Linked DNA regions of Tribolium castaneum. The protein of the gene in region 1 interacts with the protein of each later gene in a pairwise test. Links are inferred from orthologs where the notes say so. Each region holds a gene or a part of one and is shown in the gene's direction. Other genes may lie near its edges. The genes, in order: p130CAS, breast cancer anti-estrogen resistance protein 3 homolog and Pax.

Region 1 (4,357 bases):
TAACGATACAGGTATACACGTTGTGGTAATAAAAGATGTTCAGTTAAGCACAAAAATGAAAGTAGTCAGATTTTTTTCAAGCAACTTAATTTTGATATATTCTTTAATTTGTTTTCTTTAATAACGGTATCGATTTTTGCTCTTTTGTTCCTATGATGTGGAATATAATTTATTGTCAAATTTGCAAGTTTTTTTTTATTGTTTTGTACATCATAAGACATTAATTGTTAATTTTTTTCAACAGGTATTTGTTTAATGTTCCAAGAGCTGTCGTTTCTACTAACTAAAGACAAAAAAATATTATCTGAAGCACCAATATAACTTAAAAATTTTAATTTGAAGAAAAAAGGCTCAATCAATTTTTGGTCATAGGAACTTTTAATTCAGTTTGATGTCCTTTATCAGCACCCGAGAGATTGTCCGGTACTTTTAAATAATTCTGTATTATTGAACTTATTTTTATCAAAATTCTTCCAATTAATTACGTTTCTGATAGCAAAAAGCGTTAAAACACGCAAAAAAAGGAAGAATAATGTAGACACACATATAGACACGTACGAGTATTATTGAGGCAGCCTTATTTTAAAATAATAAAAAATTATTAATAATAACCATTTTTTTTAACCAAACTATAGTAGTTTCATAGAAATTTTTTTATAAATTTTATGACATAATTAAGTATCTGATAGAAAAAAAGTAACAAACAATAAAATAAATTGACCTGATTAAGCGATTTTGCGGCTTTGTTTTTTCTAGTTTTAGACTTCACTTTGGACTTAATTGCGTTTTTTTTGTTCCTGATCTCGTTCCGAACTTTAGTTCAAAAATGTGTTTAAGAAAAAGACGAAATAATACTGTTTTTACTACTTTCTGCACATTTTTGAGAAACTTTGGAGACATAATTAAGCTGACTAAAAAAAACTGTATAAATAACACCCCAAAAAGGCAAACATTGCTCCACTAGCAATCTTATTTTATTAGTTAAACCGTTTACTGACATAATTCAATGATTTTTCGGTTTATTTTGCGATCACAATTCTTGGTACAAACCGAAAATCGTTTTGTAGGTCAGGGGTGTTCCCAAATGGCGCCCTTCTCATATTGCAGATTGCGTAACCGCCCCCTTTGACATGCCGCCAGGGTGCGGTGCAGCCCCCACATCCGCCAAGCTTAAAAATCGCATCACCCAACGGAAAATTAATAATTAATACCATCCATTCATTGTATGGGCGAGGGAAAAAAATATAAACGATACAATTAAAAATGCAATAAACTGTGGTCACGGATGATGCTGCTGCCACTTCTCTCCGCTGGACCATACGGAACAGAAGTCTCCAAATAGCCAGTTATGGTTGTGTAGAAAAACTCGTCTACAGTATGATCAATAAATGTTTGTGTGCATGCTCAGTTCCACGATCTGCAGCCGAGTCCACGAATGATTCACGAAACACTATTTCCAGTTTAGTTGGTTTGTAGCTGCATGGGAGTGGAGAAGGTGATGGTATTCTTCAAGTTGGGCCTTACTTAACTTTACCTTTATTTTGGTTTTTCTCTATTTCTCTGTGTTTTTTTAAGTTTCGTGTTATTTCCAAAATGCCTCAACCAACGGATAACTTGCCTCCTTCACAGGTATGTAGCTATGCAATTTATTACAATTTTTCCGATCATACTTCACTGTCAAGTTTATAATCATATGTTTGTATAATATTAATGTTATTATTAAATAAAGTTTATAAATATAGCTTTGCCTTGACTGTATTACTGTTTTAAAAAGTACCAACGGCGTTTTGCTGCTACCATTTTACTGATGTGTATTACATTTTGTAAGTGCTTGATTAGATAAGTTGTGATAAAAGTGTTGAGATGGACAAAATGTTTCCGTATTTATACTTCCAATAAGCATTTGCTCTGTGCTCTAAATCGTCTTCTAACACAATGAAATTTATATGCAAATATTGATTTTTTAATTACTTCAACTATTGTGGCATGTAGGCATGAATTTGCATTGATTATTCAAAATCACATATTACATAGCTGACTGCACCGGGAGTTTGCAATCGATTTCTGCCGTCCTGTGTTGCATGAACCTACACTACAATCAAAATTGCAAATATACAGGATGCTCAAAAACTGGCGCACCAACTCAGTGGTACGTTATTGAGAAGCAAGTGCAGATTACGGGAAAAATGTTGAAAAAATTCCTAAAGTTATATTTTAAAAAATCTGGAGCTACAAACTTATTGTGTTAACTTCTTTAGTATTCATTATTTTTTTATATTTTTATGTTTCATACCAGGTAATCGATGAATAATTATTTTAAAATTTACGATCAGATTTTAGGAGTTTTTTTAATTTAAAAAAATTAAAATTCATCCAAAAAATCACAATGTGTAGATGTGCCAACACTGGGAATTATTTCCTAGGAAACCGTTTCAAAAATAATTTATTTTTATTGTTGCTCAAATTCTATTACGATCATGACTGTTAGACAACGTTGCCACATATCATTTACCTAAAATTAGTTATTTATCAATAACTTTAATACAAAGAATTTTTTTACTATTTTTACCATTATATGTAACCACTTCTCTACTACACACCATTGAGTTGGTGCGCCAGTTTTTGAGCACGCTGTATATAACATCATGCCATAGCTAAAATATTTTACAAAATCGGCAAAATAATATAATTCATAGTGATTTTTCAGTTTTTAATAATAATAATAATTTATTAATTTTCAACAGGTAAATCACCCAAGTACAGAAAATGAAATTAAGTTAAATAAACGTTTTGTATTTAAACTAAAACTAGAAACAATACAAAGGTAAGAAGACAAGTAAAAAAAAAACAAATAATTAATTTTGAATTTTGCCTACCATTTAATTAACCTAATGCCCGAAAAACCCGAAATATTAGATTTTGTATGAAATTAAAAGAAAGAAAATTAATATCACAACTACTGCTAATTTTATTAAAATTCCTGCACATTATGTATGTACAATGACAATTTTAAAAGAGCATTAGTATTACAATGGATACAATAAAAAGTTATGTAGTACCGTAAGTTAATTTTAGGAACCAGATAAATTATCTTATTCACAAAACTAATGCAATATATCTTATTGTCCAGTATTGTTTAGTTAGTGCTTTATACAAAAAAATGTCTTAATAAACGTCTGATAAATACAAAAATTTTCCCCTTTTAGAATGTAATTTAATGACTTTCGGTTTATTTTTGCCAAAAGTTTACATTGCGACATTTCTGACCGAAAATTGTGCTAAAATGCTTAAAAAATACAAAATATGAAAAACACTCTACAGGGTGATTCAAAAATACCGTACAATCTCTCACGTGCTGATAAAGGACATCAAACTGAATTAAAAGTTCCGATGACAAAAAATGGACTTTTTTTTCTTCATTGTTAAATTTTTAACTGGTAAATTCGACAATAAATATATTCAACATCCTAGGAAACAAGAGAGCAACAATCGATACCGTTGCTAAGGAAAACAAATTAGAAAATATTGCTTGAAAAAAATCTGACTTCACTTTTGTATTTGACTGAACGTCTTTTTGACTTAATTCAGTGATTTTTTGGTTTATTTTTGTTCAAATTCTTTAAAATAATAATGTTTCTAGATAAAGGACAACGTATTAAGACATTCAACATTAAAAAACTTAAACTTTTGCGGCTAATAAGTTGTTAAAAATTTCAAAATCGTCCATTTTTTAATTCTGAGTGTTTCTTTTGAAAGTTTTTAGCTAAATTTATTATGTTCTCTTATACTTGTTATCATTTTTTTCGTAAGCTAAATACATAGTTTTGGACTATCAAAGTATGTAAACTAAGTTTCATCATTGTTTGTCCACAACCCTTATAGTGACTTATAGCGGCGGTCAGCTCGATTTGCGTGTGCGTCATCAATTTCATTTTTTCATTACCAACACAAAGCTATAAAAAATTATCAAAAACAATGCAAATTTAAACAGCTAAGGGCTATCTAAGGGTGGTATCCTTGAACATTAATTTAGATGTGCACTTCGACAACACCGTCAAGTGTCACGAATTTGTCAAACTGACATTGACAGTAAAATATAGACGTCGTCGCATGGTTGTCGAAAGTGTTATCGGTGTTAATCGCAAGTATTTTCTGTTCGTTTATTATGTTTTGTGATTTGCGTTTCGTTAGGTTTTTGATTCTGCGTTTATTAGTTCTTGTTTTGTGAATCTGTATTTTTTGTAACAAATCATAATTTAAACACTTCGTAAGCTCAAAAGATATTTGATAGTTTGTCACCGCTATGACCCTGCTATGTAAACGTAGTGACAGAAATGTCAGATGACGCACACGCAAA
Region 2 (3,652 bases), on another chromosome or scaffold:
ATAGTTTCCTCTTCTAGTAGTGCAATTATCTACTCAGACGTCAAGAAACAACCGTAATGAACCTTTGTGTCTGATGTCTGAAGTGATTCATTATCGAGGAAGGAGGATTTCAAACACCACATTAGTTTTAATCACCCATTAAGCTTATAGTATCATCCAATAATTATTACATTTCTAATGCAATTATTTTTGTTCCAGATCGAATTTAAGCTCCGTATATGAGCCAGTCCAAAGTAAAAGCTTAAACAATCTCATTATGGTAAGTATTTTATTGTCTCCGTAAAAATATCATTTTGTAAAATTGACCCGAGAGACTTGCTCCTAATACCGGCCCAATCCAATAAACCTTGAAAAAAATTAAGTTTGAATTTTATTTCCAACTGACATGAAATACCCAATGACTGTGCCACTTGGAATTCCAAACAGTTGGCCCAAAGCTCCGAGCTGGGTTCATACTAGCCCCAGTATAAGGCCCCTGAAATATAACAATTTGAAATCCAACTCGAAACGAGATTATTTCAGTAATACAGCTGTGATATTTAAGAGAAAGACGATGATTCCGATCCTCAAAGAAACCGAATCTCCTTTAGCATAATTCCTCGGATCCCACGCGGCGCAGATTGCCACTGCCATAATAAACGTTGCTATAAATTCCACAAGACATGCCTTGAATTTTCGTCACATTATTTTATTTGAATCATCATCGAAATACATACTTGCAAAAGCGATATTTCATCGTGCGGCAACGTGACGCAATGACCGTAAGAAACATTCAAGTGCTTATCTGGCGTTACCGCCTTGAATCAATACCTTGAGAGCACCACAATTAATAAAAAAGTGATTTATTACCTTAAGAAGTGCATAGCCGGTCAAAGAACCCGCAATTTGGGAACCTACATAAATCGGGACCGAAGTTAAGGAAATTTCGCCCATAATGAAAGCACAAAGTGTGACAGCGGGGTTTACATGCGCCCCAGAAATGTGGCTGAACATCTAAATTTAATTTTTTACTTTTGAAAGTGTGATAGACATTTTGCGTCCAATACCTTACCTGAATGGCTGTCGTAACAGACAGACCACTGGCAAGGCTCGTTTGCAAAACTGTAATGTTTTCCCCAAACATCCCCTTTGTGCAGCCCATACACGAGAGGAAAACTAAGACAGCTGTGCCAATGAATTCGGCACATACTATTACCATTCCGTTGAGCAAAGCCGGAGTTTGTCCCTTTTTGTTGTATGTCACATCGCAATCTGAAATGGCAGTTCTTGTGATTGTAATTACGGGCGTTATCTGTTGTTGAATAGTTCTACTATTGCTAAACTAACTGGAGGAAAATTATTGTTTTCATTTGAGGTAACGACGCGATTTATAATTTACCTCGTGAGTGCACAAAGTTAAATATCTATAGCCGTAATAAATAGGGATTGTTTTGTGGGAAAAGCTGCAGATTAGAAGCACTCAATTGTTCCTACAGCAAAGAAATGTCATTTCAGGCAGTCTTATTGTACTTTTTAGCTATGAAACGACCGTTACTAAAAGCTGCTCATGTGAGACAAGTTATTTCCTCGTTTAGCCAAGAAAGCAACCTTTTAGATTGTTTTGCGACTTGCCTCAAGCGTTAAAAAATGATACAAAAATACAAGCAATGTGATAATTTGATAAATATTTATGCGATTTTGCATTAACATGTACACAAACATTAGCTTTGTTGGCCTGCAGTACAAATACAAAAAGGAAATCATTAACAATACTTTTAGTATGTTATTGCTGCAGATGCTACATTAGTATGCGCGAATGCAAACTTTAAAGTAAAATTTTTATCTTTTCTATAATAAGACGTCATAACCAACTATTTCTGTACAGACTCTTTACTTAACAGGCGCATAATATAATCATTGAAACAGCGCAATAAAAAGCTTAAAATTAACTTCATAATTTTATTCTTTTGACACTTAAGTCTTAAAAAATTATATTCAGCAGAAAAAATTATGCACCCACCTTTAGGAATATCAACACTGAATCGATGATCATTTCCCACATCTCTCATAATTAATTCTTTTTAGTCGTAAACAAGTTCCACAACTAATAGCAATAAATTACATTAAGCCGTTTACACTAATTGCATTACTTGTATTGATATCACTATCAGGATTAAAAACAAAGGTTAATTCCTTTAAACGCTTTAACGTGAAACATTTTGTTCCGTTCTAATTTTAATCAATCAAAGATGTGAAGGTAATCCTGAAACTGAACCGCGTCAAAATACAAATGATTTATTAGGCATATTGTTTGAGAAAAACGCAAACATTGTATGCATTTTGGGAGAAAATTCCAACAGACCGGATTATAATAACAAATCATTGCATAGTTTGTTCGTTGTTCCCTATTGTGTTAGAAAACAAATAATAAAAATAATGGAGATTTATGTCGAACGATAGTATTAGTAGCATCGTGTGTGCTGGAAACAAGAACGTGGCAAAATTTACTTTTAAAATAAGTCTGTAATATTACAGCTGCTCTTTTGAATTATTAAAGCGACTAAATTCATTCATTTTATGAGTAGCGATTTAACCCCTCTTGTGTCTTCGGGAGTAAACAAAATGACTATTTAATGAAAAGCCAACCGCTAAGTCAGAATTTAAAAGAGCTAAAACAATGCGAAAGTGCCCTTAATACTATCGTTCGTTCAATGTAGGGTTTTAAGTACCTTTTCTGTTCGTTTGAAAATTTCTAGACACACTTGAGTGGTTTATAATGGTAAAGCTTCCACCAGTAAGGTCGACGTTCTAATTTTAAGTTAAACCGCATTTGGAAAAAAATTATCTATACTTTTTGTAAATTTCCCAACAAAAATTTTGTAACGTCTCGATTTGCTGTCGAAATAATTAAAACAGTGCAGTAACAGCTATAAACACAACTCAGCCATTGTTTGCGTTTTCTCGCCGTATTTGTTCTTATGAAAATTCGTCGTCAATCTCCTTCCCCGCGTTAAACTTCTAATCCACTTTTAACGCCCGAGCGAACTCTATTGAATATCCCTTCGCTTCCGGATTTATTGAATTTCAACTAAAATATTCTTTTCAGGAGCCTACGGCGGACCCCTCGATGAACTCTCTCGAGCTGAAAAAAGCTCTCGAATGGGAGCTTTCTCTGGACAGTCGCGACTTGCGTTCACACGCTTGGTATCACGGAGCCATTCCTCGATCCCGTGCCGAGGACATTGTCCGAGAGGAAGGCGGCTTTTTAGTCCGGGACTGCACTTCCCAACCCGGCAATTACGTCCTAACTTGCCGAACGAAAACCCAACCCTTGCACTTTGTAATCAACAAAATCATCCTCCAGCCGGACACGGTGTACGAACACGTCCAATTCCAGTTTGAAGAGGATGCTTTCGACACCGTCCCCGACCTTATCACCTTTTATGTGGGCTCGGGAAAGCCCATCACGGCAGCGTCTGGGGCCAGAATACAGTTTCCGAAAAATCGGATGTACCCCTTGTCGTTCTACGCTGCCAAATACCCCACACCTCTGCCCCAGAGCAGGCTGAGCTCCCCGGCAACGACCCCAATCGGGGGAATGGTAAAAAACACGCGCAACTGTGGCTTTATCTAATTTTGATTTTTCCATTAGGGTATGGGGTACCGCCACAGC
Region 3 (4,414 bases), on another chromosome or scaffold:
GTGGACATAATTGGTCGAATTTCTTTTGAAAGAAAAATTTTAGTAAACTATATTGATAATAATGTATTTAAAATGACTGTAAGTTGAACAGAACTGTTAAAAGCATCACATTACAGCCCTGATGTTTCAATTGTCTCGTTTTGGCAAAATCTTCGTGAATTAATAATAATAATAATTTCCTGAGCGGCTCTTTGATCTGAACAGTCGAAAAAAAAATAAAATTACATCTGCGATTTTTCGGCTTGTTCTGACGATTTTCCTAGAGATTTGAGAATTTTTCCGTAAAAGACACACTTGTTTGTCTCGAAAAACGTTCTGAAGCGAGCGAAATCGGCGAAAATAGCAAGTTTGAAGCGTATTTTTTCTGATTAGAGAAACAACATTTGTGTGGATATTGAGTTTGTTAATGAAAAATGCTTTAAAAAACTAAAAAATAGGCCAATTGGGATGATCATTTTCGTATATTCTTTAGGAAAATACGTCGAAATTGACGAAGGTATAATTCTTGTCTTGTTTGGTAAAATTCTTTTTGAAAAACATTGCAAATCGCTCGGAAATAACGAATTCTAGATCTAATTATGCGATTGTTTTTTGGGTGAAAAACTCGTTAGAAATTTATAAAAAATAGAGAATAATAATATTTGCAGCTATATTTTGCGACTTCTGACTTGAATTTCTTGGTAAAAAGGATTCTAATCAATTTAGCAAAACAGGGGAAAGCATCGATGGTTGGACTAATTTGTGAATTTTTCGCCGAAAAACGGTTCGAGTTAACAGAAACAGATATAATTTTGCGATTTCAGCTTTGTTTTTACAAAACCTAAAATTGAGGAATTATTGAGTTTCTGTCAAAAGCCATCTAGAAACGATATTTTCTGGTACGTGACAATTTTTTGTGTGAAGTCTTAGAGTCGAGTTATCAAGAACTTTTAAAAACAAGCCAAACCACCGAGCAACTTGAGTCATTTCCACAGTATTGTTAGGAAAATGATTTCATGTTGTCGCAATTTTGATTAAATTTGTATTCAAGAGAGTGCTAAATAAAGGAATGAAATGTGTGGCATTTATTTTTTGATTTCACCTGTTTTTATTTCCAATTATGTTTTCCAAGTACGCAATGTCTGTAAAAGTCCACGGTCATAACCGGCGCGTAGGTTTAACAATCGTAGGTTTTTTCAATAAAAAGTTGTAACTCGCACGTATTTGAATCCTTGGACGATTTTCTAAATCAGTCGATCGTGGAGACACACGCATCGTCTAAATTTACCTCAGTCTTAGCGTTGACGTTTCCGACAAATCGTTTCCGGAAAATTTCGCGAAAATGCCACTTACGTAAGGTGGAAAAGGTGGAGTTTTCGTGATTCCGCAAGTGGTCTATTTATAACCGGACACGTCCAGGTTTGCCAAAACTCGCGGGTGCAACAGTTAGTCATAGTCGGGATCTTCCCAAAACTATTGTTTTTTTCTCGCTTCGTGTTGGAAAAACGAAATGAGTGCTAAATTGCGCACGCGGACGCCCTCACCCAAAACGGTCACTTTCGACCCCTCGCCTCCGACGACACTGGAGCGGAAGCGGAAAGTGATGAGGTTTAAATCGCACGCCGAATGGGAGCAATATTTAAGTGAGTACGCGGTCACGTGGCCACTGGAAACGAACAAAATCAAAAATGCGCCAAGACTTTTTATTTTATTGTCCTGGGTGGCAATCATTCGGGCGCACTGACGTATCAATTCATTTGTTAATTGAGGGGCAAGCCCACGATTACGTCTTGAACAAAAATAAGTCGGCGCATAAATGGTCCTCAAGGCCGAACTAATTTTACTAAAACAAATTTGTTTATGTAATCGACATAACTCGAATAACAACAAATGTGATCGATTATCGATGGGTCACGCGAAAAGAATTTCAAAATATGTAAATAAAATCGCCCGATTGCAGTATTGCAAATTTCCGCCTATCGTTTGTTTGCCTTACAGTGATAAGGAATTGCATGTTTGTCCATTATTGATACAACTGCTCGATTCAGTTAATTGCAGCCCAAGGATGTGTCTGCATTGCTGTTCTTACTAATCAGTGCCACCACCGTGTTTTATTAATAACCGTATTCCGTGTGATAACACCGTTTTCCCCAAATTGTGACGCATCCTTTATCAGCTTGGCGGTTTTAATTTCGAGTAATTGACTCATTTTGTCCAATTTCTTTCAATCACCAACCGATTTATTAATTATACTAAGCTCGGACGAAATGGACGTGACTCGAAATCCGTACGCCGAATTCGGTACAAAATCAATTTTGAGTTGTTTTTTTAAATTTGTTGATTTTTCGTGTTATTGCAGATGCTCTCTTGGCCGATCTTCAAAACACCGTGTCTCCGGGTGGCGGGAGCAGCTCCGGTTACGGGTCCTTGAATGCGTCCAGGGATGGACGACAATCGGGGGCTGAAAGTCCAGCCTCAAGAGTCGATTCGTATGGTGTTAGATCGGTAAGTTGTTTTTTTGGTTTTTGGCAAAAGCGTTGTTTTGGCGGAACCGCGTAAACGATTAGTTGCGCCATCTGGGAAATGCTGGTGCAAGTTATTTCGAGAATAACACAGTCACAAATTACGATGTTCTAGATGGAGATGTATTCAAAAACGTCCGGTCGTTTGAAAACTGTTTGCTTGTTTTGTAATTTGTGTGTGGCGACACCTTTTGATGTTGTATTTATAGATGCGGCAGAAAAAATATTCTTTTCGGAAATTTTGGTGTAATTATTGTGTAATCTCTGGCAAAATTTTGCGAAATGTTTGCGGTTCTGACTGAAAACCGAGCGAAAACAATTGGAAACAGCACAAGTAAACTAATTAACAGCGTAATCTTGCAATAGATTTTGAGATTTTAGTTCAAAATCGTACTGAAGACACGGAAAAAGAAAAAATAACACCATCTTCAACAAAATTTATTGAGGATTTTGGCTTATTTTCGAGTGGAACAAGCTAAATAACGTCAGTTTCAGTTCATATAAAATATAATTAAAGAAAATTAATGAATCTTTTCTATTTTCCTAATTAAGGAAATCGAGTGTTTTTTTAATTTTAACGGTAATTTTTTGAAAAAGCTTTGTTTGTTACATCAAAAACGTGTTAAAAATTACTAATGTTTTAGCATGTTTTTAACGAAATGTTGAAGTAATCGCTGAAAACAAACAAAAAAAAACTTCATTTTCTATCAAAATCGACATTTTTTTAGCTTAATAATTTACTGTATTGAAAATCGAATTTAGTTCTTAACGGTTGCGAAATAAAAAAGCCAATTCTAATAAGTGTTTGGACTACGAAGGACTATAACTTATGGGACGAAACGAGATACAAAATCGTAGGATTTTCTGAATCAAAAAAAATAAATAAATAATAATAAAAAATAGTAGGGCAGAGTAAAATAAGGGCGCTTCGAGAGTTATACCGTCTCGGTGTCAAATCGTTTTAAATTAATTGAAATTCAACCAGTTCACTAATTACTTGGAAAAAAAATGCAGAAATGTTGAGCTTTGTATTCTCAACAGACTGAGAAAAACTGAGGACTAAAATTATCATGAGAAACATGAGACAAAAATATTTAATAGTTATTTATTTAACGAGTGTGAGTGTAAATCGGACGTTTTTCGAAACCGTATTCACAACGTTTTGATAAATAGGCGACGGTGCCTAAAAAATTATCGCCTAGAATTATCAGTTTCCGTTCCACCTTATATTTTTGCAAACGAAGCGAATACGGTTGAAAATACAAAAAAGTTGAAGGAACAAGGTTCTAAAGAATTAAATTTTTCATATTTCTATCGTCAACGGTTTAGGTGTAAATAACTTTCCAATACCTGAAAACTTCTAAAATGAAGCAAATATATCGCTTGAGTGTCTTTGAACGACTTTGGGGCCAAAATGGTTGAAGACATGGACATGGTTTCGCGGACTTTTCTAAAAAAAATTTAATTGTCTACAACTTTTTTCTGAACATTTTTTTTAAATATAGTTTAAGAGATAATTTTTGCACTATATTCTTATATTCCTATATTCAGAGTTTATATTCTCACCTGAGGATGACCACTTTGTGGTTGAAACGCGTAGTGTTTTTAATAAAGGTTTGGTGTGTCGGGTTTTTTAAACTTTGTTTATTTTAGTTTCCACGCCAAGGAAATCCAACAAGAAGTAATACATTTATTAATAAATTATTTAAAAAAAAATGTTTATTTCTAATGTGTTCTTGTCCATTTTGTTTAGTTTCAGAAAGTTTAAGTGGAAGAAAAGGTACCGATTTGACGTTTTTTTGGACTATCACTAAAAAAAAATACTATTTTCTAGCAACGTTTCGATTTTAATTGATGGCCTGTAGCAGATTAAATTAAAATCAAAACGTTGCCAGAAAATTTTATTCTTTGAG

Evidence for each region.
Region 2: the proteins of p130CAS (region 1) and breast cancer anti-estrogen resistance protein 3 homolog interact in a two-hybrid assay, tested with the Drosophila melanogaster proteins (2 studies listed by BioGRID). The link is inferred for Tribolium castaneum from reciprocal best matches to the Drosophila melanogaster genes p130CAS and CG9098.
Region 3: the proteins of p130CAS (region 1) and Pax interact in a two-hybrid assay, tested with the Drosophila melanogaster proteins (2 studies listed by BioGRID). The link is inferred for Tribolium castaneum from reciprocal best matches to the Drosophila melanogaster genes p130CAS and Pax.

Annotation. Positions count from the first base shown.
Region 1 is NC_087394.1:14,545,290-14,549,646, forward strand, and holds the start of p130CAS (breast cancer anti-estrogen resistance protein 1), read left to right. Parts: upstream 1-1,437; 5' UTR 1,438-1,593; coding exon 1,594-1,629; intron 1,630-4,357.
Region 2 is NC_087398.1:218,283-221,934, forward strand, and holds part of breast cancer anti-estrogen resistance protein 3 homolog, read left to right. Parts: intron 1-121; exon of another isoform or gene 122-198; coding exon 199-259; exon of another isoform or gene 260-268; coding exon of another isoform or gene 269-346; intron 347-394; coding exon of another isoform or gene 395-475; intron 476-528; coding exon of another isoform or gene 529-666; intron 667-716; coding exon of another isoform or gene 717-797; intron 798-849; coding exon of another isoform or gene 850-993; intron 994-1,051; coding exon of another isoform or gene 1,052-1,251; exon of another isoform or gene 1,252-1,265; intron 1,266-1,999; coding exon of another isoform or gene 2,000-2,048; exon of another isoform or gene 2,049-2,111; intron 2,112-3,085; coding exon 3,086-3,580; intron 3,581-3,631; coding exon 3,632-3,652. Other genes in the region: aquaporin AQPAe.a, read right to left, coding at 269-346, 395-475, 529-666, 717-797, 850-993, 1,052-1,251, 2,000-2,048.
Region 3 is NC_087395.1:17,976,779-17,981,192, forward strand, and holds the start of Pax (paxillin), read left to right. Parts: upstream 1-1,487; 5' UTR 1,488-1,489; coding exon 1,490-1,622; intron 1,623-2,013; exon of another isoform or gene 2,014-2,246; coding exon of another isoform or gene 2,247-2,280; intron 2,281-2,338; coding exon 2,339-2,484; intron 2,485-4,414.